3 linked regions of the Coturnix japonica genome follow. The protein of the gene in region 1 purifies or fractionates together with the protein of each later gene. This does not show direct contact. Links are inferred from orthologs where the notes say so. Each region holds a gene or a part of one and is shown in the gene's direction. Other genes may lie near its edges.

Region 1 (8,199 bases):
AGAGAGATAAAAAGATCATCAAGGTTCATTTGACTTACACTGCATATTACAAACAGGTGCCTTTTCAAACTTGGTGATTCTATGATTCTATGACCAAGTTCCATTAATGTTCCCCGGATCAACTCACAAGTATAGATGAAGTGAATACCACACTATTAGTGATGCCTGGCACTGCTATGGCCCAGGGCAACTATTGCATGTGTAGACATGCCATCTTGGAGGGTGGTACAAGTAGGGACTGTTGTGTGCGTAGTTGAGATGCGTTCAGGTCTTTGTAGGGTTTGAGTCACCTGGTGTACTTCGGGCAGCTTCCTCATAATGAGACTAGGAAGTTCAAGGAGGGCACTGGCATGAAGCATCTTCTGTAAAGAGGATGATCAAGTCATGACTTTCCAGATTAGAAAGAAAGATCTACGATAGAGATATATGTGAGAAAGGCATATAAAAGCCAGCAAAGATACAGCGATCAGTTGTCCGCTGTCTTTGCCAGGGCAGGAAGAGGAAAACTAGCAAGTAGCAGGTTCAAAGGAAACAAAATGTTGTATTTGAAGCTATGTGTGGCAACACAGTGGAACTGTATCTCACAGGATGTTGTAAATGCTAACATTTTGCAAGGGATCAAGGGAATGTGGAGAACGTAATGGAAATGAAGGACATCAAGGGTATTATATGTACTATATACAAAGATATAATTTCTTTCTCAGTTGGAATTACTGGAGATCAAAAGAGTGATCTAAGGAAGTATCTTAATGTGTTTGCTTTATCCTAGTTTCCTGACAGGTCTGTTTGGACAACCCTCAGGACCAGCACATCGGTCTAGATCAGACGTGTCCAACCTGTAGCCTGCAAGCTGCACACAGCCCAGGACAGCCAGTAATGTCACCCCACAAAAACATAAGCTTTTAACATGATTACATGATTTTTTAGTGATAATTTTAATCTGGGGCTGCATGGGAATGGTTGACCACCCAGCATGGCAGGCAAGCTGGGGCAGAAAACACAGATAGGGGCCCAGAGCCTTTTTGGGCTGACGTATGCACCCAGATGAACCTTCTGAGGAACAAGGGGGCTGCCCAGACCTTCAGCCATGGGAAGCTCTGGAATCTGGAGATCACACAAGGGACTGAGGTAGGTGAGGGGTGTTGTGGGTGCAGGTGTGCCCAACTTGATGATCTTTCTGAGCAGCTGAACAGGCTGTGAGAGGAAGTTGCCAGGCTGAGAGTTATTCAGCAGTCTGAGAGGCTGATGCCTGGTCTCATGGGGTGGTGTGGGTAGACAGACTACCCTGTCTTGGGGCCCAACCAGGGGAGGAAGATAAGCAGGCTTCCCACCTGACAGAGAGTAAACACGTGCAGGGTGAAGGAGGTTGAAACTTTGTCTCTGCATGGGGCAAAAGGAGAAGCCTCTCCCTTGCTCCTGAAGTCCTACTGACCAGGAGATTTCAAGCTCTGGTGTGGGAGAGAAAAGAAGGTGTGCGTAGAGGCTCAGAACCAGAAAGGAGCGACCACATTAGGAAGGTCTAAATGCCTGAAAAGAAGCAAAGGATCTTAGTAATTGGAGACTCTTTGCTGAGAAGCACCGACGTACCCATTTGATGCCCAGGTGACCTCTCTAAAGTGGTTTGCTACCTGCCAGGGGTCGGCATTTGGGACATCACAAAGAGGATACTGGGTATGATACAACCAGATTATCCTCTCCTGATCTTTGAAGCTGGGTCACACGAAGCTGCAATCAGAAAATTACAAAATATATATTAAAAAAAGATTTCATGTCACTTGGGAAGGTGTTGAAAAGATATGGAGCTGGGGTCTACTACAGGCCATCTGATTAAGGGGACACTGTTGCTATCCAGGAGACTCCTGGAGTACATCGATGATACCTTTCTGGTTCAGATATTGGACAGACTGACAAGTGTGTTGCTGGACCTGATGCTCACCAGTGCAGAGGAGATCATTAAAGGATTTCAAGACTGGAAACAGCCCAGCCTGCAGCGACCACACCTTCATTGAGTTCATGATCTTGAGGAATGTGGGCCTGGCAAACAGTGGAGTCAGGACCCTGAACAGGCTGCCCAGGGAGGTTGTGGATGCCCCGTCCTTGGAGGTGTTCAAGACCAGGTTGGACGGGCCCTGGGCAACCTGATCTAGTAAATGTGTATGTTTGGTGGCCCTGCCAGGCAGGGGGGGTGGGACTACATGATCCTTGAGGTCCCTTCCAACCTGGGTCATTCTGTGATTCTGTGATTCTGTAATTTCAGGAGAGTGAACTTCAGTCTGTTGAATGAATTGCTGGATCAGATCCCCTGGGAGGCTGTCCTTAAGAGGTAAAGGAGTGGAGTAAAGGATGCCTTTCTGAGAGAGCAAGATCTCTCCATTGCTCAGAATAGGAAAGCAGGTCAAGGAATGAGGAAACCAGCATGACTTGGCACAGACCTACTGGTAAAACTGAGGGAAAAGAAGTGCATGTACAGGCAGTGGAAATGTCACTTGAGAAAAACACAGGGATGATGCTGGATATGCAGAGATGGGATTAGGAAAGCCAGGGCACAGATGGAACTGAAATTTGAAAGGAATATTAAAAACAGCCAGAAGGAATTCTACAGGTACACTGGTCAAATTAGCCTTTGGCATGGTCCCCCACCACACTCTTATCTCTAAATTGGTAAGAGATGGATTTGAAGGGTGGACTATTTGGTGGATAAGGAATTGGTTGGAAAGTCACATCTGGAGCGTTGTGGTTAATGGCTCCATGATGGTGCAAATCAGGGTAATCCCAGATATGTTTAGAGACTGGGAGAAGAATTCATTGAAAGTCCTGTGCCCTCAGCACGGGAAAGGTGTTGAGCTTTAGTAGAGGGTCCAGAGGAGGGACACAAAAATGATCAGTTGAGTGGTGAGGCACTAGGACAGGTTGCCCAGAGCGGTTGTGGATGACCCTATTCTTGGAGGTGTGTAAAGCCAGGTTGGATGGGGCCCTGAGCATCCTGAGTACTGATAGGTACTGTCACTGATAGGTGAATGTCACAAAAACAAGGCCACATATCCCACTCTTTCCATGTTTCCGTTGCTTTTTTAAAACATTTCAATAAAAAATGACAGAAACAAAAGTAGTTTTGTTATTTACATGCATGAATGATATTATATATCTTACATGTGGCCCAACCTCTCTTCACTCATCGCGGCCCAGGCCAGCCACAAGGGCGGCCGCCATCTGCAAAGACTACCGGTGTGATCCCAGCACTTGAGCCCGACCTGATGCCGGACACCCCCCACAAACACCTTCCCAGCGCTTCCATAACGACCCAGGGAGGTACGGCGGGCTGGGAGGGCCGAGCCTCCCATTCATCGCGGGGCGGGGGCGGAGCTCGAGCCCGATCCGGAGCTGTAAAGCGTTGGTTCGGAGCGGGCGCTGCTATGGCTGTGCGGGACGCCTGACGTGTGAGCCCGAATCCGGCGTGGGGCCGGGGGTGAGTGCGGGGCCGGAGTGGGGCTGCCCTGGCTGCGGGAGGAGATGGAGATGGAGATGGGGATGGGGCCGGGGCTCGGGCCGGGCGGTGCGGGCTACGCGTGGAATCCATTTTGCATGATGCAATACTGGGGGTCGCGGGTTGCGGTAGGGGCTGCCCGGCGGCCTGCCTCCCTCCGAGCCCCCCGAGCGGGGCTGGGGAGCTCACAGATCACACACGCGTGTCCCGGCTCGGCCCTGTGCCCTACGGGAGTAGCGAGGCGGGGACGTGCTGTGCTGGGAGTTGAAGGCCCCAGCGGTGAGGAGGAGGGAGCCCGGCCGCTTGTTGGGTGGCCGTACCATGCACAGGAGCGCTCCAGCCGCTCTGTGCTCCGCTGTCTGTTTTTAAGCTTCAGAAGGGGCTGAGAATTGACAGAAAATCCAGGTGCCTGTTCCTAGCACGCCCCACGAGGTCCTGCTGTCTGTTGGTCTTCAGCCTGCCCTGCTGCTGGTTCTCATCTGTGGTTAGGAAAGGGGCTGGTTTCCATTCATCTGTCAGCGTTTCATGGGCAGCTGGCTTGGCTGATGGATTTCTTCTTTTTGTCATAGAATGGCTTAGGGTGGAAAGGAGCTCACGGCCCACCCAGCCCTGACTCCTGCCATGGGCAGGGACACCTCCCAGCAGCTCAGGCCACCCAGGGTCCCATCCGGCCTGGCCTTGAGTGCCTGCAGGGATGGGACACCCACAGCTCCCTTCCTCACTGCCCTCTGAGGGAAGAAATTCACCATCTAAACTAACTCTCTCATCTTTTAGTTTATAACCATTCCCCACCATCCTGTCGCTATTTGCCCTTCTAAGATGTTAGTCTCCTTCCTATTTATAAGCTCCCCTCAATTACTGGAAGGCTGCAGCGAGGCCCACTTGGAGCTTCTTTTCTGCAAGCTAAACAGTAACTGCTGACTCTGCCATTGAGGCTTGGGCATCACCGTGCTGGTTTTCCTTGAGCAAGATGCAGCATGCAGAAAGAGTAAAGCAAAAGAGGTGAATCCTGCTCTGACAGTAGCGTGTTTGAACTCTGTAACAGCGAAGCTTTTTTCACTTTGGTTTTCAGTTCTCACCATGTGTCTGCATTGTGAAATGTCTGACACGTGGCTACTCGCGCACACACACACACACACACACCCAGCTTCCCAGCAGCGTTAGTGTGTTCAACACCTGCCTCCCACTCGGGGAGAACAGGCAGAAACTTTCTATTCTTGCCAAATACTCTGTGGACTTTCATTGCCTTCAGCAGTCAGCCTCAATGTCTTTTTAGACAGGATAAAATGCAAAAGGAGAAGGAGCTGTAATTGCGTGGGCTGCATAGCTGCAAATGCTGAGTCTGATGCAAAGGAGCCCTCTGATTGCTGCAGTGCTTCAGAACCTGCTTTGCTTGTGAGTATCTTGCATTTTGAGTGATTAGAAGGAAACAGACCTTCTACTGTGCACCACTGCTTGAGTGCCTTCATCAGGCTGGCTCCAAAGCAATCCTGTTTCCTAAGCAGGATGAATACTGGGTGTACAGTCCTTGATTCATACTGTTCCACTGGGATATGTTTGAGCCTGGCTGCTTGTAGGCTCATGCCCATCAATGAGAAGACATTCAGAAGGCACTCCTGGTTTTGGGTGGGCTGTAAAGGAAGCTGACACCAGCTAGGCTTCTAATTGAAAGCAATTCAGTTGCGAATGTGGGTCAGAATGCGTTATTACATGTTTGCATTGTACTCCTTAGTTTGCACGTTACTCTTGCTCTAATCTAGCCAGGTATTAGCGTTATCAGCTTGGAGCTGTGCTTTTGTTGAAACCTTTGCCACTCCCTCTATTTTATTCTTCCATTTTCCGGTGTCAGTCTAGTAACACATCTCAGGTTGGACTCACCTCAGTGTGGTGCTGCACCGAAGCTCTGTGGCTCTGCTTTAAGTTATGTGATGTGTGAGAGCTGATATGTGCCAATCCAGCTGGTGCTGGGTGCAGCTGGTGAGTCCGGCCTTTGCAGGAGTAAGAGCAAAAAGGAGTGGTGTTCTGTATTTCCTTTCAGATACGGAAGAAGTACGGTGCAGGTGGATTAGGGCAGAGATCACGTTACAGTTATTGCTTCTATGCAGCCTCTCAGAACCATCACTTCCAGTTGTATCCAAGCATTCAGGGAGCAGAAAACGACACCTTTTGTTCTCTTCTCTTGGCCCATATTTGGGATGTCCAATAGTGAGTTGCATTCATTTTGGGGCAGGAGGAAGAGAGGGTGATTCACTTTGGCTGCTGATGTGCTCTGTGGATGCCAGCTTAACCCTGGTAGAATTGTATTGGCCAAGCTATGGTGTTGCCAGCGGAGCAGACTGGGATGTGGTAGAGCTGCTTTCCCACTCCTGGAGGATGAGTTGTGATGTCCTGCCAACTTAAACATGTGCATGGGAAGCTGGTTGTACTGAGTGGCAGAACAGAGAGGCTGGGGGGTGCAGAGATCTAGGCCAGTTTTTCAGCACTGAGTCGACTGGGGGCAACTCAAGTAAATACCAGCCCAGCTGAGGTACCCCACTATGATGAAGGTAGCATCTGTCTGGCCAGATCTGCCTTTTACATCCAAGATTACCAACTCCATCTCCCAGTATGGTACATCTGGAGAAGTGGGTATTCCTGCAGCATGATTCATCTGAGCCCAAATGAATTGCGACCTGAGAGCTGCTTTCCACTGACTATAAAAGGATCAGCTCCCATGCAAATGTCAGCGCAGTAAATGTCTGAATGTTTATCTCAATGAACTTCTGAGATTCTCGGGTTCCTCAGTGCTGCTGGGAAGAGCTGTGGCTGTTTACACTATGGGTGAGTTTATCCTGGTATTTGAACGCTCCCATTTTAGTGCTGTTGCTGCAATATCACTGCCTGCTTGGACATACAGAACAGACATACCTGAATCTCTTGGTCGAACAGCACGTGGAGGTCAACATCTATACCATTGACCAACCCTAACTTGGATGCAGGTTTCTCTGCTGTTGCCTGTGGTTTGTGGATTTTTGGGAGTGCTGGTGGCTGGGATTTTCATGTCAATTAATTGCTAGCCTTATTTACGGAGAAAACTGTGCTATTCTGGATATTTAGTGACTTTTTGGTAGTCATTCCCTCCTAAAAGCTTGCGATAAACCACATAGAGGTTCTTAATAAGAAGAAATTGAACAATGGGTTTTCTATGTAGCTGGGTTTGTCCCTAGTACTGATTTATGCAGGTTGGTTAAAATCCCTTGTACCGGATCATTTATTTATCCCTGGAAGCTGTGCTGTTACATGAGAACATATTCTCAAACTAAATAGTGGTGTGTGCCCTGACTCATGTTATTCCTGGCTGTATGCGAGCTTAACTGTCTTACGTTGCCAGGCATTTTAATAGAGGTGAGAAGGGCCGAGTGTTATATGCACATCATCTCTGCTGCATTTGCACCTGCTGAGGAGCCCACCATTGCTGGCTGCTTATGGGCATTCAGGTGGCAAAGATTCCCTACCTGAATTTAGCTGATATAGTTGTGCAGTGCAAAGATGCTGTACTGTTGTACATCCACTCGTGCAGTAAGCAGGACCTTCCAGGCTCTGTGATCTGATGCAAGAGTGAAAAGAGAGGAGCAAAATGTTGTGAGCACGGAGAAGAGGCTACATCCAGAGCTCAGCAATGGCTTAGGGTGGAGGTGCCACAAATTGGAAGGGAAACCAGTGGGTATTTGAGCTCCTGTTGGGATTTGAAGAATGAGCTTCAGTGAGATTTGTCTCTGATGAATGTCTCAGATTAGGATGAGCATTTGGCCTCTAGTATCTGTTCAGTTCAGGAAAGCTCCAACACAAGCAGTGAGAATATGAGATGCAAGTGGAGAAAAGCAGAAGCAAAATATTTGTGCTTTGCTCTGAAGGGTTAGATCAATATCGCACAATCCTGACATCTGAAGCTTTGTTCAAAACCCTCTCTTAGTTCTGAGGAACACTGCTGTTATTTCCTTACAAGAACAATCATTCCTTGTTTTTGTTCCTGATGTCTCTATATTCAAATTCTTGTCTCGAGGGCTGTTGGAGTTTCCATAGCTGCCTGTTAATCTGAGCCCTGGAGGAGCTGAATAAGGCTTCTCGTCTCACCTCAAGTGGCATATGCTTACACCCAGAGGTGCCTTTCTCTGCCTGTTGATTACAGGGAGTCATGAGATGGTACCCTAACCCAGACACCTTCTTGGAGCTGCCTGATGCTAGTTGGGATAACAGTCCCTCATAACCTGGATGGCATGTGAAGAAATGCAAGGATATCCCCAAGGGAACTTGTGTAAGTGCTAAAGCTGCACTGTGTTGCTCTAGAGAAGCCTGCACAGGTGTTAGAGCTGCTTCCTTCTTAGAAGGAAGTATCTGGAGGGCAGAGCTGTGTGGTGCATAGCACCAGCAAACACACAACACCATCTCTTTGCTTTCCATGCTGCTGTTGAGACCCTTGGGAGGAAGATGCTGATCATTATTTGTTTGATACTTATTTTGCTTTAAAATGACCCATATTTTTTTCCCAAGTCCCAGTGCAGTGAAACTAAGCAGAATATTTACAGCCAGCAGTTCCTTTCCTTCCTGCTGTCATTTCAAGAGCCTGGCAGCTGCAGCAGACTTTATTATAGTTCAAAGCTTCTGGTTTGAGATGTGACATGTGGGATTGGGGAGACATGGCACTGTATGTGCTAGAAGCAGTTCATTGAAATGTA
Region 2 (8,406 bases), on another chromosome or scaffold:
GCGGTATGGGGATGAGTGGGAGGGCGGTGACACAGTGATGTGTTCCCATGGTGGTGACAGCATTCACATGGTGACAGTGCTGATGTGGGTCCTGCAGGCTGGTGACAGAGCTGACGAATCACATACGCGTGCGGGTGGAGGATGCAGATCCAGCAGCTGAGTTCAGCCGCGTCTTCCCCAGCTTTGTCTGGACTGTGCGTGACTTCACACTGCAGCTACGGGATGGCGAGCGACTGCTGACTGAGGATGAATACCTGGAGGATGCTCTGCGCTTAAAGCCCGGTACAGTCATCACCGTGTGTTACCATATGTCCCTATGGGGGGTGGCACCTTGCTGATGACGTTGGCAATGCAGGGCACGGGCGCAAGGTGCAGGAGTACAATGAGACACGGCGCTGCCTGTGTGACTTCTTCATACACCGCAAGCTGTTTGTGCTGGAGAGGCCGACGTCTGAGGCAAACCTGGCACGGCTGGAGGAGCTGCGGGAGGATGAACTGCAGCCACGCTTCCGACAACAGGCGGATGCCTTCTGCAAATACATCTGGGAGAAGGCGCCGGTGAAGGAGCTGCCAGGCGGGCGCCAGGTGACGGGCACCAGTGAGTGGTGGTGGCATGAGGATGGGGTGGCACGTGGGTGTGATGTGTCTCATTGGTGGTGTCTCCCGCAGTGCTGGCTTCCTTGGCAGAGAAATATGTGGCTACCATTGCAAAAGGTGAAGTGCCTTGTGTGGAGAGCGCGGTGACGGCGCTGGCAAGGACTGAAAACACTGCAGCAGTGGCAGCAGCGGTAGCTGAATACAAGAAGGGCATGGAGAAGGACCTGGTGCTGCCCACAGACTCGCGTGCCACGCTGATAGATGTGCACCAGCGCTGGGAGCGCCACGCCATCACCCTCTTCTTGTCCCGTGCCTTTGCTGACAACGAGCGCACCTACCAGTGTCAGCTGATGGTGAGTCACTGTCACGCTGTGGGGTTCTGGGGGTGATTTCAGTTCGATTCAGACCTGTTTTGGTGGTGCAGCGAGACCTGGAGGCAGCCAAGGAGGAGTTCTGCTTAAGCAATGAGAAGGCATCGGAGAAGCGTTGCCAGGAGGTGCTGAAGAACCTGTGGCAGGACGTGGAGCTCCGCATACATTGTGGGGACTACGCAGCACCGGGTGGTGCACAGCGGTTCCAGGATGATCTGTGCAGTGTGCTGGATGAGTACCGGCAGTGGCCTGAAAAGGGTATTAAGGTGAGTGGGGTGTGATGGAGCCTGGTGTGGTGGTGCAGGCGGTGCCTCATAGCTGTACCATCAGGCAGATGCAGTGCTGGAGGTGTTCCTGCGGGAGAAGGAGCCGCTGGCACAAATGCTGCATGCTACCGATGCATGGCTGGTGATGACGGAGCAGCAGCGGGAGGCAGCTGCAGCCAAGGAGGCAGCAGCCAGGGATGCAGAGATGTCATGCCTGAAGGAGCAGCAGCGCAGCCTGGAGGAGAACTGCAGGCAGCTGGAGCAGCGACTGCTGGAGGAGCAGCGCCTGCGGCTGAAGGAGCAGGACCGCATGCTGGAGCACCGCCTGAAGGTGAGCACTGTGCCAGCATTGCATGGTGGAACCAGCATGTTGTGGCTGTATGGTGTTGTGCAGTGGTACCAGCGCGCTGTGGATGCATTGTGGCATCGTGCAGTGGTACTAGCAGCACTATCTGTCCCACAGGAACATCGGAGGCTGATGGAGGAGGGTTACGAGCGTGAGGCAAAGGCAGCAGAGCGGCAGATTGAGCGGCTGCAGGAGGAGAAGAAGAAAATTAAGAAACGCTCATGGATCGGGTCAGCTGTGAGCCTCCTGGGCAATGTGGCTTCACTCTTCCTGCCTGGTGTGGTCGGCAAAGTAGTGGGTATTGCCAGCAATGCAGTGCAGCACCTGTTCTAGCCCAGCCATCCATCCCTGTGTCCTGGTTTCAGCTGCGACGGCATTGAATTTTCCTTCATTGCATTTGGTTTGATGTTATGTTTTGGCTTTAGGAGAAAAACAGTATTGATAACAAAGTGCCATTTTAGTTGCTGCCGAGCAGTTCTGTACAGAGCCAAGAACATTTCAGTTTCTCAGCTTCTCCTTCTACCTTGCCAATGAGGAGGGCTGAGGGATACAAGGAGTTGAGAGGGGACAGAACTGAGATACCTAACCTAAACTGGCCAAAGGAATATACCATACCATGTGTTATGAGCTTGATAATTGCTACTTATTGTGGTATTTTTGGCACAGATATACCAGTGTTTTTTTGGAACAACATCATTTAGCACTTTACTTGCTATTTACGTGTCTGTCACGTTGTTTACCATCTCTAGGAGTGGGACTGAAGATGTCATTTTGCTGTGCCTTATGATCTTGACTTTCAATATGTTAAAACTGCTGATTGAGAAACTAACATGGTATTTGTGTTCAACATAGTAATGATCTTTGCACTATGAGACCTGTACCTTGGATGCTATCAGTAATTACACTTCGCTCTGTCTCCTCGTGGCACCACCTTGTGGCACTTTCCACCCAGGGACCCAAGCTGGCCAAAGGGATGTTCCATACCATAGGACATCATACAGAAGGGCACATGATAAAGTGTGGGGTGTTTGTTTCTACCCCACAGCACTACAGGAGGTGGTCCAGCCCCTGGTGGTGGTGGCCATTAGGAGCCTTATCACAGCGGCAAATCCTTCCTGATGAACCACCTGGCCAGCCTCAACCAGGGCTCCCTGTCCATTTTGGGAACCTGTGGGGGGCATTCTGGTGCAATTCTGATGGCAACAGCCACAAAAATGCCTGGATCTTCATGCTGGCACTGCTGCTCTCCAGCACCTGGTGTAACAAAGCCTGGGCATCATTGACCAGCAGGGGCAGGAGAAGCTGCAGTATCCCATAGGGGGTTGAATGGAACTGGGGGAACAGTGGTGAAACCATGAGATTTGTGGCAAAGGGGGGTTGGGTCAAAGCTGGGGGATTTGGGATGAAACAGGGTTATGGGGTGACACGGGACTCGGGGCAAAGCTGGAGGATTCAGAGCAAGACGGGGATTTGAGCAATGCAGTACTTGAGGTGGAGCTGTGGGATTTAGGACTTGACTTGGGATGATACTGGGGGATATGGGATAAAGCTGAAGGATTGGAGCAATGTGAGACTTGGGGCGAAGCCGTGGGATTTGGGTAATGCAGTACATTACAATACAGTAAAGCTGTAGGATTTAGAGCAATGTGGGACTTGAGTTGAAGCTGTGGGATCTGAGGTGGAAGGAGGGATTTGAGGCAATGCTAGATTTGGGGTGAAGCTGTGGGATTTGAGTAAAAGGGGATTTGGGGAACCTTGTATTTAAAGGTAACGCAGACTTGATGGGGTGACGGGGAATTTAGGGTGAAAATTTGGGATTTGGGAGATGTTGAATTTGGGGGCAGGATGCAGAACTGTGGGTGAAAGTGTGGGACAGTGCGAGACTTCACCTCAGTACCAAATGGAGTCTCACCCTGAGGCAACCCCAGTGCCACTTTTGGGGGCAGATTTTACTTTGGTGTGTAGCAATCCCACTCTGGGGTGAGTTTATAATGACAGCAGGACAGGGCTGGGTCAGATTAGGCCCATGTTCTGGTTCATGCGGCCTCCATCCCTTTCTAAGGCGGGCTCCCGTCATCATGGCAACCAAAGGCCTCGACCGCGCATGCGCAGGCCTCGTCCCCTCGCTTTAGGGCGGGCGCTCGGTCAGCAGCGGTGGCGCATGCGCAGAGAGCGGCGGGGTGCTGGCAGCCGGGCCCGGAGGAGCCGTCACTCAGCCGGTCATGTCGTACGGGCCGCTGGATCCATATCGGGCCGGAGCGACGGCCCCGCCGAGGGATTTTAGTGGAATCATACAAACATGCAGCGCCAACGTGCAGCGCATCGCTCAGTACAGTGAGTAGCGGCGGGCAGGGCCGCGGTGGGAGCTGCTGAGGGCCCGGGGTGAGGCGGGGCTCCATTGCTGCCTGTGACAGCGGAGGGATGGCTGGGGAAACAGCATCTGTGCTGCTGAGAGGAGTGAATGTCATAAAGCTTTCTCTCCTCCTCTCTTTTTCGCTTCCTCCTTTAATTAGTTCAGCTCCTCTTAGGATGCTATGGCCGGGTCTCATGCCCAGCAGCCGCCCTTTCCCGGTGTGCTGCCAATTGGAGGTGAAACAAGTGTCTTACAGCTTCAGTCAGGGTGGGTGGGAGCACACAGAGCAGCTGACTTACCATTACAGTCATTAACTGTACTGTGTGTTTGATAAAGGGCCTGAGGAGAAGAGAAACTGAAGCCTTGAGCACTTCCTTATTTCTCTTTCCCTATAGGGGAAAATCAGCTGCCTTTAGAACAGTGTTAAGTGGTTCTTCTTGGTCTTGCCTTGCTGCTTGAGGGAGCAGGAGAATTGCTAGGAGCCCACCAGGTGGACTTTTGTCCTACACGATGCTCCCAGCATCTCTTACTGACGTTAAAGAGCGTGAAGCTGCAGAATACAGCGAGTCAGCTGGCTCATCTGTTCAGACATTCCCTTCTGAGGCTGGGAAGGGGTGGTTACCTTGCAGGTATATTAACAGTTTAATGGGGATGTTGAAATGCAGAGTCTAAGTGTTGTGTTATCAGCTTGAGTTAAGCAAAATGTTGAGAGAGGTCCTTCACTGGAGAAGCTTTCTAGCTTAAAGTAGGGATAAAATACACTAGAACTCATATTAATCTTGTGGTCTCTTTGTCTTCAGCTGCTCAGATAAAGAATTTGATGAGCCAGCTGGGAACCAAGCAGGACTCCAGCAAACTGCAGGAAAACTTGTAAGTATGAATTGGATAAACACTGTTTAGGCTCTTTTATTTTCACCTTTATTCTTAGAAGGAGGGAGTTACTTTGGAGAGATGCTTTACTGCATAAACTTAATATAAACTTAATTGTATGTGAATGGCTTCCTGTGTTGTGATGCTAATGGAAGTGTTGCTTCAGTAGATCCTTTGCACCAGCAGCTTTGAATCACAACCTTGTTGGAAAACATAAGAGCTGGAAGACTGGGGAAGGCCTTGCATTTCCCAGAGCTGAATCTGTATCATTCTTCTCTGTGAAGTTTCATGGATCTGCAGGAATTCAGTATCTGAGTTCTTAAAGATGTTTGAGCTCAGAAACCTTACTTGGTCTTTATTGCAAAGATTGAAATGCTTGGGTTGCTTTTTGGAAGAAACCTGTGTAACTATTTCTGAACTATTGTTTTAGACAACAGCTACAGCACTCTGCAAACAGCTTGGCCAAAGCGACCAATGAGTATCTCAAAGAACTGGGATCTCTACCACTTCCTCTGTCTGCTTCTGAACAGGTATGCAGGTAGAATTTTCTAGAGCTTTCTTTAGTTGCTTACTTGATAAGCTGGCTTAGAGTGCAATTTCACGGAGCTTAAACTGGCACAGCTGAAGATACAGCAGCTTTCTGCAATGAAAGCAGTTGTTGAAGTGGGAAGACGAACTCAGTCAGCTACATCCTGACTGTATGATGCTGAGGGGGAATCATTTATCAGCAGCAGATAGCTCTAAAACTTTGGGGAAAGCTGAGTATGTAGTTCTATTTCTGAGAAAATAATCTTGTTTACAGAGCAATCTGGTGATGCGAGACCATGTTTTAGGATAAAAACTCAGTGCAAGCTGAATGTCAGTATGAATTGTAATTACATCAAAAAAACTTTTCCTTCCACGGGATTTATGGCCTGAACTGAAGGTGGGGGAGGGAAGGAGCTGACTCAGGTTACTCACATTTAAAGAAACCTGCTGAGGTGACTTTGTCTCTGGCAAAACAGTCTTTCAGGGCATCCCTTCCTGTGGGGAAGGGAAGGGATGGGCCTCTGCCTTTGGAGTCTTCTGTCTCCACTTTAAATCACTGCCACAATACTGATTTACCTGCTCCTGTGATACTGTTATGGGATGATCTGTGGATATGGGTCAGCAGATGTTGTCTTAGTAGATCCAATTCTCTATCTAAAGGTTTAAATACCAGTTGTAAATACGGCAGTGTTTCGTGTATTTGTTCAGAAAGTGTTTTTCAGTTAATCTCACTCTGGTAAGCAAAGTCCATGTTGCTGAATGTGGCAGTGACTTCTGTAAGTGAGTGAAGCTGAAGAATTTCTGTAGTGGAAAATCAACTGTAAGAATCAGCTGTAGTACTGACTGTCCTTGGGTCAAGTCTTTTTCTCAGCTACTTGTTTCCCATGTACTGGATGTCACAACCTTCAAAGGGGACATGCCAGGGAAACATGCACAGGGCAGTTCCACAGTAGGTAGAGCATAGAGCATTTGGTATAACATGAAAGTGTGATGGGCTTTTTTTTCTCCTGTTTCTACCCCAGAATGCTGGGAAGATCACTTACATGTTAGCATTTACTTTTCATTTTATGTTTTGGAGAGTCTGATGGTTACAGTAACACGAATGGTAATATCTGAACGTTTGTTTTTGTTTCTTTAGCGTCAACAGAGGCTTCAGAAAGAACGTTTAATGAATGATTTCTCTGCAGCCTTAAATAATTTCCAGGCAGTACAGAGGCAAGTGTCAGAGAAGGAAAAAGAGACTGTAGCAAGGGCAAGAGCTGGCTCCCGTATCTCTGTAAGTATTTGTAGGCATTCTGTTGTGATATGGTGGACTACAAATCATTTTGGAGATCTTGTCTTTGCCCACTGGCTTCATGGTTGTCTACTGATGCATTACTGATCACAAATGAGGCCTCAGTAGGTTGTTTTGCTGTTCCAGATGTTGTAATTAGTAGGCACACATCTTGATATGCTGATGATACATCAGTGATCTGAGTAAATAGACTCTTGTCTTTGCCTTTCAGCTGCCTCTGATTTGCTGAGACAGTCTGAATTTAAGTCTGAAGATGAATCTAAATCTGGTCTAAATTCCCTTAGGTTAAATCTGAAAGTTGAAGAGACAATGCTGTCTCTGGACAGCAAATGCCTTTTTCTTCAGTATATTCCTGTTGATTTTGCTTGTTGGTAGTTCTGCTGATCTGAAATATTAACACCTCATTTATCTATTCCAGGCTGATGAGCGGTTCAGAGAAGAACAGCTTGTTTCATTTGATAGGTAAAGAATTGCATTCTTGCATTCTCGGGGCACACTCTTAACCTATGTGTAATTAAAATTGTTATAGATATATTGTATCTTGGACAACTCTTTTATAGCTGAATGAAAAACAGAAGGATGCTATGCAGCTATTACAGTGCTAATACACAGCATTTAGGAAAAGAAATGCATGACAGTATTTGACCCTGTTGAAATGTAGGCTGTCCCACTGGGAATAGTTCAGTCTCTGTTATATGATAATTGGCCCTCCTGGTGTTCTGGACTGTGAGCACAAGATTACCAGACGTATTTTCTGTCACATAACTCTTTCCACAAGAAAAACTCTTTACTTCTTTTATGAGTTTGGGTGTTATCTATGAGCCCAGATGGAGCCATTGTAAAGCAGTGGATGAGGCTGCTCTAAACTTGGAAGAAATAACAAATTGATACCAGAACATGCGTAGTCTACATCGATATAAAATATCAGACATATATATAGATTCTGCGGTAACTTTGTGCCTGCATAGCAGATGAGTTTGCAGAATGTTGCATCAGCTCTACAGTGTGAGTCAAGTGAACTCAAGACACTGCAGAAGCATTTGTGATTACTGTGTCAGTTTCCACTATGCATGCCTGAGAAATAGAGGATGAAGTATGTAGGCCTTATCTGTATAAACCTTGCAATGTTCTAACTCGAGGCACCTATCTGAAATGTCTCATCCATCCTCTCCTGATCAGTTGTTTGGTGTGTGTCCCCCTTTGTTAGTCCTGAGGTTCCACGTGCTGAGTCAGAAGTGAAAGCCCTATTTTGTTCAGTCATAAAGATGCTGTGATGAGTTTGAAGTCTTGCTCACTATTGCATGGGGTGCCACATAAATACCTGTTCATGCAGAGGCCCTCATCTCAGTGAGATGCAGTATCGTGCAGCAACTACTTTGCATTTAAAATTGTTCTTATGTGCTGCACATCAGAAACTTGTGCCCTAAACACCTGAAGATTCTCCTGTCAACTCAGCTGAATTCCTGAATGTCTCTGCTGTATCCCATCTAGTCAAGTAGTTTATTGTCATTTCTTTTTGCACTTGGAGCCTTTGGAACTTACTACGTAGAGTTATGTCACAACGTGCCTGTTGGGTATATTACAGTGCTTTCAGATACGTTTGCCTCCGAGAAGAAGAGGGAGATATTACCCTAGAAGAACTCTTTTGTGCTGGACACATAGATGACTTTGTACTATTGGTACTGCCTTCACTGTAATCAGTGTGTGTAACTTACGTGGCAGTTATGAAGTACTGTCATCAGGGTAGGTGTGCAGAGATTTTTCTAAACATCTCTCTTGAT
Region 3 (7,654 bases), on another chromosome or scaffold:
AGCTCCCAAAGTCTTTGTGGAGGATGAAGTATTTGAGTTCTGGATAAACTTATCTGCTTAAACCTCTACCAGGCATCCTGCAGTCAATGTTACACAGCAAAGACTGAAAGAAAAGCAAATAGCGTCCATCTGTCAATGCAGATATTTTATAACAATGGCCCAGACTTTAAAGAACTGTTTAGCAACCAAAATTAGAAAGTTGCTTTCTCATGTGAAATAGTTGCATTTTAGAACTATGTAATGGAGAAAATAGTAATATATGAAAAAACAAAACCAACATGAAAGTGATTTGAAGGATTCTGAGTGAAAACAAGGAGAATTATTTATCTATCACAGGTACCATTCATCCAAATGGAATGAATCTAGTAGAAGCAAAGCAAGTGGGAAATTATTCCTCAGTGCCTGTTGGTCAGACAGGTGGACAAACAGGGAAAGAAAGAAGGAAGTCTGAGCCTGTATTTTTCACCCCGGAAAGGTGAAAGTGTTAGTTCAGTTTCTCTTTGTTGCTCAATAGAGAAGTCTTCCCCTTAACTACAGTGACTTTCTAGTACACAATTAAACTTATAAAATGTGAGAGGGAAGGTGGATTCTTACCAGAATGGTTTGTGGTATCTAATATGAAAGTGAAGAAAATGCAAATCCACTAAAAATTGCAGTAATAGAGACGGTAACCACATACCATACATTGTGAGACTTTAGATGCAAGCACAGATAATAGAAATGGGGAAAGGAAGTAAAGGTAGAAATAGTTATATCTTGCCTTTTTTTTATACAAATGTCCTGTTATGAACTAAACGTCATCTAGGGAACAAGGATTGTTGGCTTACAGCAGAACTTGTTATAATTGTGCTCTGCCATTTTAGGAATGTGGGAAGCAGATGGGCTTTGGAACAAGCCAAGTACAACCTGATTAATGAATACTTCCTTGTGGGAGTTACTGAAGAGCTTGAAGATTTCATCATGTTATTGGAGGCAGCTTTGCCCCGGTTCTTCAGGGGTGCCACAGAACTGTACAGGACAGGTATTTAAATGGTTGATTTCTACATCCCTTTCATCCTCTTATCACTGTTGAAAATGTGAATTATTTAAATCAACATGAATAGTTTTAAAAGTCCATGAAGTTTGCCAGTTGAACGATGTTCCACAGAAGAGAGGAACTCTGTAACGAAAACTCTGTCTTATACAATTTGTAACACTGAGATTGGGGTAAAAGCACTTGCATCAGGTGTGCCACGTTTGCAAATCACAGACACTCAAATTACATACTTAGGAAATTGGGGCAGGTGTTTGTCAGAACACTTCTGAAGGGTCTCGCTAGGGTTTCAGTTATGTGAAGTGGTTGGTAGTGGAAGGTTTTTGTTTCCTAGGAAGCCCTGTTGAAGTTCTGTTCTTGGTTCAACCTAGTTAACAGTGCAAGGTGAGTTTTGTTCTAGATGGGTTTTCATTTCAGAAACAGCAACAACAAAAACGCACCTGTGTTCAGAATGAAAATTCAGATCTTCAAGTAACGAAGTGGAAGGAAAATGAATTTTAAACACAAAACCAGATGTTTTTTCTTCAAGTGGTTTCCTTAAATTTGCTTCATTGCAGCAATTTCAAAAACTGAAGTAATTTCTCTTTAGCTCAAGCATTTTTAAATCAGTTACTGATAATGCAGAAGAAGTTTTGAAGGCTGCCTCTGGATAATTTAGTTAATACCAGGACACAGAGAGCAAAGCAGTATCACGTAAACTGTGGAAAGTTAACATGAAAAATTCTATACATCGTATTCAGAAACAATAAGTTTTGTGGAGAACCCTGAATGCTGCTATACAGGGTGTATCATAGGATTTCTGCTTCAGACTGAATATCCATACAGCTCATGAATACTTTAAACTCTGTACCTGGTTTCTGGAGGCAGCCATTAGCTCACATCAGCAGAAATGTGTAAGAATAGGACAAGGATATGGCAGTCATCGCTATTGGTTATCATCAGTTCCCAGCAGTGAGCGAAATGCATGTTGGAGGGTAGCTTTTGTTCTTTGGAGAGTTTTTCTTCCATCATCTGGATTTTACAAAGTGCTCAGAAACTCGCCACAACTCTCTGACAAGAATCTTGGGGGCGGGGGAAAGTGCTGAAGAATTCTGACCAGAGTCCTTTCTTCTGCTGAAACTTTTTCACGTCTTTGATTGGCTTTGTGACTTTTCTCTGCACCTTTTGCCAGCACACAGACTGCTGTCCTTCGCACAGTATTTGCAGCTCAGGTTCTCTGTGAATTCTTCTTCCTACATGAAAGCATTCTCAGTGCAAGATTGTTTTGTTTCCCCAAACCATTGGATTAATTGGGATATGAAGGTCCAAGTGCTCCTATTGTAATGAGATGTTATATAGATAGCAGCTCACTTTCTGGGAGCTGGCCATGCAACTTATGTAGTATTGGCAAATGTAATATAATTGAATTTAATATAAAGCAACAGATAGTTCTTCTTAAGGAAAGTACTGTCATCACTTTTGTCATCTTTCCCTAATGAGAGAAGTATCTGGCTCTGCAGTTTGTAAAACTCTTAACATTTGATACCAGATTAACATCTAAATAATTAATTCTGTAGGATTAATCTTGCTCCAAGTACATTATGTGAAGTAATCCTGTTCCTTGAATGAAATGTTCATTCGCTGGGTGTATTAGGCTAAGAAGAAAGAATTGTAAGAACCGATTCAAAATTCATTAACATTTAGTGAGAGACTGCAATGTTCCAGTCCCTCATATTGCATCAATAAACTCCGGATTAAGTTGTGTCACTTCTAGGACAGTTTATCGGCACACTGAGAGCGTACAACTCTGTAAACAAAAGGGCTGTTTACATTTTTTCATCACGTGAACTTTAAAGTGAAGTTATTGCTTTCATTTTGCGTTTAGGAAAGAAGTCTCATCTTAGGAAAACAACTGAGAAAAAACTTCCCACAAAAGAAACTATTGCCAAGCTACAGCAGTCTGAAATCTGGAAAATGGAGAATGAGTTCTATGAATTTGCACTGGAGCAGTTTCAGTTTGTCAGAGCACACGCAGTTCGGGAAAAAGATGGAGAATTGTATATCCTGGCTCAAAACTTTTTCTATGAAAAGATTTACCCTAAATCAAACTAAGAATGCGATACTTTTAGATATACGGACCTAAATCTTTGGTCACATCGTCATCTTAGCCCTCAGCCGTGGAAACTAGATCGCTTGTTAGACCTCCAAGATGTTTCTCTATAGGTCCGAGAAGAGTGGGCTGTGGATCACCTCCAGGGCAATGGATACTGACTGACTGTGTTGGTAATCCAGAAGCAAAAGCTTCACCTCTTTTATCTAACTAATACTTTCAGTGGGAGTTAATACCCTTTACCTGAGGAAATCTTCACTTTAATTTGGAGCGATTAACACACAGCAGCTCTAGTTGAAAACATAAAGGAAAAAAAAAATAATGCTTCTGTTAATGCTCTTTTTTAATTTTCAGAGCAGTTTATTTTCATTTATACTTCTGTGAAGAGGAAGTCATTTTTCCCAGCTTTCAACATGGAAATCTTGGTTGTATACTATATGAGTAGTGTTAATAACCGGTTGACATCTGTGCTTTGTTTTTGTGAATCACATCACACGGTATGGATTGGGATAGTTAATCATGTTCTGCTGAGAAATGCTGCTGCCGCTGGAATTGCCCATATTTATATTTGTGGTTTTATTAAAAAAAAATTATGACTAATCGTTAGTGTTAAAACATCATTTCCACACTGACATTGTAAAAAGTGAAAGAATCGGAGCAGTGGGGTTTTGTTTGTTGTTGTTTTTTATACCCACCACCAAGCGGTGGACTGAGGTTGGGAAAACCACAAGGAAAGTTGGTTTTGTCTGCAGTTATAGTCAATACTTACACAGTGGTATAAAAATAGCAAAATCGGTATCAAGTTTCTCCATGGATTCTTTGTAATTATTGTAAGCTGAGGTATTGGTGAATCCATATTATGACTCCATTAGTGAGCTGTGGTATGGTTAGGGTTTTCCTACTACTTCAATACTTTTACCTGTAGAATATTTTTACTAAGGTGCTTTATAATGTGTTTTAAAGCATTGCATTTACAAAAGGAGTAAAATGCTGTAAATACTGCTTATTTTATGTATTTGGACCAAAAGGTTTAAAGTAACTAGTTTGAAGTGGGGTTTTTTTCTGTTTGGTTGGTTTTTGTTTTTTTGTTTTTTTGTTTTTTTTTTTGCACCAGTTCTGTTATGTGTAAAGTAAAAAGGCATCGCATATACTTCCTGGTTGAGTCAACTGTTGAATATTGCAGAAATGCACTTCAGTGACCTCTATGACTTTAAAACTAGAATGTTGTCCAGGGATTCTCTTTACGGAAATGTAGCTTTCATCCTTTTGTTATATTAAGAGGAAAAGAAGCAAAATGTGATGTGTAGTCTGGTGGAGAGAGATGCAGTGAACTTGACATAATTGTATTTATGTAACTGCCTTATGTGACTATTGTAAATTTGTGAGTTGCCGTTATTAACAATGTGAAACACCTGGTAGATCAAGTAAATTGAAATTTGAGAACAGATGTTTGGGGCCACTGCATTATAGCAAACAGCAGTGGAGGACTATAAGAATTTGTTTCCTATTGGATTTTCTGAAATACGAGTATTTACACATCTTACACCTGCCTTTTCTTAAAGTGCTTTTCATGGAGTTTGATAGGAGAGAAGGCACAGAGGAGACAAAGTTAGGAGTAAAAAAAAAAGAAAAAGGAGGGGGCTGGAATTGTGGAAGTTTTAATTCCTAAGGGATGATGCTGAAGGCTTAGTTTAAAATTACCAAGTGGAGTTTCTTTAGCCAGCTTGTTCTTGTAATGAAAACAAAGGAAATGGAAAATGGTCTGTGAACTGGGTGTCTGCAGCCAAAAGCAACAGTCCATTTACAGAGAGGATAATGAGAGACTGTCAAGTCCGTCTTGTGTTTTCTTTGTTTTCTTGCATTTTCTTTTTGAATTTCAAAAATACACCTCATTGTTCCTCCCAGATAATCAGGGAAGTTCCTTCTGGTAGCTTTACCGTTGATACAGTGTGAACCCCGTATAAGATTTCCTGTTCCAGTTCTTTTCTACTGACGTCATTAATAATACCAACATGCTTGGGAACGTGCTCACACATGGAAACGTGTTTCCTAGCTACAGGAAGGAGCTGAGGAGTCAAAGTTTGTTATAAAATTAAAGGAATATTTATAATCCCCATGAAGATTATCTACGAAGAGATAGTTCTATTTTAGATGTAATGACTAAATTGTTTTCCTTCATTATAATTTGGATTTCTTTACCTTCTTGTGTTGTCTTCAGAATTTTTCAGAAGAGCACCCTTTTAAGAGAACAGGAGCGTTTATTAAGTGAAAATATACAACATTCACCGAAGTAATGAAGAAGGTATTTGTACAAATACTTCTGTATTGACAAGAAAACAGTAGGCAAAGCCTATTCAATCTATGGAAATCTATTTCATAAGCAATTTTAAGGTGTTTTTTTCTCTTGTTCACCCCAGGATTTAAGGTTTTGGAAAGGAGTCTTCAGTAACAGCAGAAAAATGCATTTTATTTTGTACTTTAAAGAGCAATATATATTTTTCATAGTAAGAGATTTGATTTACTTCCTATTCTTTGCTGTGAACTGACAGGTTGGAGGAAAATGAGCTTAAGTATTTTTTAAAAAGAAATGGTAGCTACAAATGTACAATGTAATCGTTTTAGTTGTGTTCTGAATGCATCGCTGTCTGTGGAACACTGAAAGGAGGCAGATAGGCTGCTTCTGTGTCTAGTGCTGCCACCTTGTCAACCACGGACTTTTTTGGACTCTTTTGAAATAAGAACTGCCCAACTTTGATTTCCTAAAAGCAGAGAGATTAGGAAAACGAGCTTTAAGCTGTATGAATAACCTGCTGTCTGTTGGTATTAAAAATATTTTGCAGTATATGAACGGAGTTTATCTTGTGCATTTCCCCTTAACAAGTTAACATGTAAAGCAGCAATACATAGACTTCTGCTTTGCAGGTTCAGTAGACTTACTATGCAGCCTACTGAACGCAGATCTCTTAACTGAAGTCACTGTAGACTCTGCACAGCAGAGTGAGATTTGATTTTTTTTTTGCTGGGCTGAGTTCATTAGAAAGGTGAAACTGTAATCCTCAAAATTACAGTTGAGAGTAGATCCTGTTACACTGTTATGTACTTCTCATACAAAACAAACATTCAGATTCTGTGCAGAATTCTAGCCCTGTTGAAACTCATGGTTGTCAGTATATGGCACTTGGTTCAGCTGTGCCGACAACTACATAGCCATAACTCCAGCATGCCTGGAGCACTTGACGTATACTGGGCAGTGCTGATTGGAGGGCAACAGTGTTCTTTGCTCCTTCCCATAGCGATTCTGCATCCATGCAACAAGAATTTCATTCCTGTGTTCCTGTGCATCTATGAACAGGCACAGTTCTAGGGTATAGGATGTCCTATGTTTATACATTCCAGTTCATTCTGGATTTGCTTTCTTACAGTCTTTAATGGAATGATCATAGCTTCATTTTCAAACAGGCACAGAAAATGATTGCTATACAATATGAGAAAGGAAGAAGCAGTCCATCCAGGCTGTTTGAAATGCCTTTTCTCTGAGTACTTAACTTTTCTGAAGATACGTGGCTATTTTTGTGTTCCAGGAATGCACGTTTCCTTGTTCATGTTCTCAGAGCAGTCCTATTTTAATATCAGGGAGAATTCAGTTGTTTTCTGTTATAATTCTGTTAACATTTCCCATTAAGATTACCTAGTGTTGCTAAATGAGTGTGTGACAAGAGTTATTATGGATGATGCTGACTGAACTGTGCTGCTTTGCAGTCGGTGGAAAAGCCTGATTCAGATGCACTGCCAATTTAGCTCTTCGAAATTAGAGCTTATTTTATGACTACTAGAGATAAGGAAACTGTAGCGCTACTGAGTTGCATGGCTGCATCCTTTACTTTGAGCCTATGCAACTAGGTAGCCTCTGCAGCAGTATTTATAGGAAGAGCCCTCTTCGTGAAGACTTTTCTGGAGCATAATTATACATGTTTATACCCTTGTACTGTCTTGTATCCACATCAGCAGCTTTCTGTAGCTTCTGTTAAAAAGAAAAAAGAAAAAGACAGGTTTGTGAGCATTTCTGAAGTAGTACTGAATGTAATTTTGAAAAACATGGATTGTTCTTCATGACTCTTTTCTTTTTAAATACACACACAGCTAAATAGTGCCTTTTTTCCTCACGATCCATGTTGAAGATGCTCGCTCCCTCTCACTCTCAGTAAATTGGTTTGTTTGTGCAATACTGTTCCAACTTGAAACCATTTTGTCACAGCTGTTTGAGAAATAATCTCCATTTTTCCTTATTATGCTGCCAGCTTTCTGTTGTTGAAGTGTTTCAGTTGATTACCTAATGCAAATGCTCTAAAATAAAACGCCCAGTGGGAAGGGGAAAAAAAAAAGAATTCTGGTGTCCTGTCTTAATATTTGTACGTTACATTCGCAAGAAATGTTCTTTTTCTGGAGCCCGTCGTCATGCAGCATTGTGAACTTCTTTTGCAGCTATTGTGACTGTGGAGGAGAGGAGTGAGCTGCAGTGTGGCTCATCTGTA

The links.
Region 2: the proteins of SLC7A1 (region 1) and STX12 purify together in Homo sapiens (co-immunoprecipitation; 3 studies listed by BioGRID and IntAct, counting the BioPlex papers as one, with this or other methods). This does not show direct contact. The link is inferred for Coturnix japonica from reciprocal best matches to the Homo sapiens genes SLC7A1 and STX12.
Region 3: the proteins of SLC7A1 (region 1) and HS2ST1 purify together in Homo sapiens (co-immunoprecipitation; 3 studies listed by BioGRID and IntAct, counting the BioPlex papers as one, with this or other methods). This does not show direct contact. The link is inferred for Coturnix japonica from reciprocal best matches to the Homo sapiens genes SLC7A1 and HS2ST1.

The regions. Positions count from the first base shown.
Region 1 is NC_029516.1:156,903,431-156,911,629, forward strand, and holds the start of SLC7A1 (high affinity cationic amino acid transporter 1), read left to right. Parts: upstream 1-3,226; 5' UTR 3,227-3,254; coding exon 3,255-3,309; intron 3,310-3,333; exon of another isoform or gene 3,334-3,466; intron 3,467-4,760; exon of another isoform or gene 4,761-4,879; intron 4,880-7,652; exon of another isoform or gene 7,653-7,735; coding exon of another isoform or gene 7,736-7,778; intron 7,779-8,199. UniProt on the Homo sapiens protein: High-affinity, low capacity permease involved in the transport of the cationic amino acids (arginine, lysine and ornithine) in non-hepatic tissues.
Region 2 is NC_029538.1:1,328,792-1,337,197, forward strand, and holds the start of STX12 (syntaxin-12), read left to right. Parts: upstream 1-3,726; 5' UTR 3,727-3,802; coding exon 3,803-3,914; intron 3,915-4,733; coding exon 4,734-4,803; intron 4,804-5,233; coding exon 5,234-5,333; intron 5,334-6,469; coding exon 6,470-6,607; intron 6,608-7,043; coding exon 7,044-7,087; intron 7,088-8,406. Other genes in the region: guanylate-binding protein 1-like, read left to right, coding at 1-3, 98-282, 356-598, 670-950, 1,022-1,234, 1,299-1,565, 1,698-1,913. UniProt on the Homo sapiens protein: SNARE promoting fusion of transport vesicles with target membranes. Together with SNARE STX6, promotes movement of vesicles from endosomes to the cell membrane, and may therefore function in the endocytic recycling pathway.
Region 3 is NC_029523.1:13,824,065-13,831,718, reverse strand, and holds the end of HS2ST1 (heparan sulfate 2-O-sulfotransferase 1), read left to right. Parts: intron 1-863; coding exon 864-1,021; intron 1,022-2,897; coding exon 2,898-3,124; 3' UTR 3,125-5,207; downstream 5,208-7,654. UniProt on the Homo sapiens protein: Catalyzes the transfer of a sulfo group from 3'-phospho-5'-adenylyl sulfate (PAPS) to the 2-OH position of iduronic acid (IdoA) or glucuronic acid (GlcA) within the heparan sulfate (HS) chain and participates in HS biosynthesis.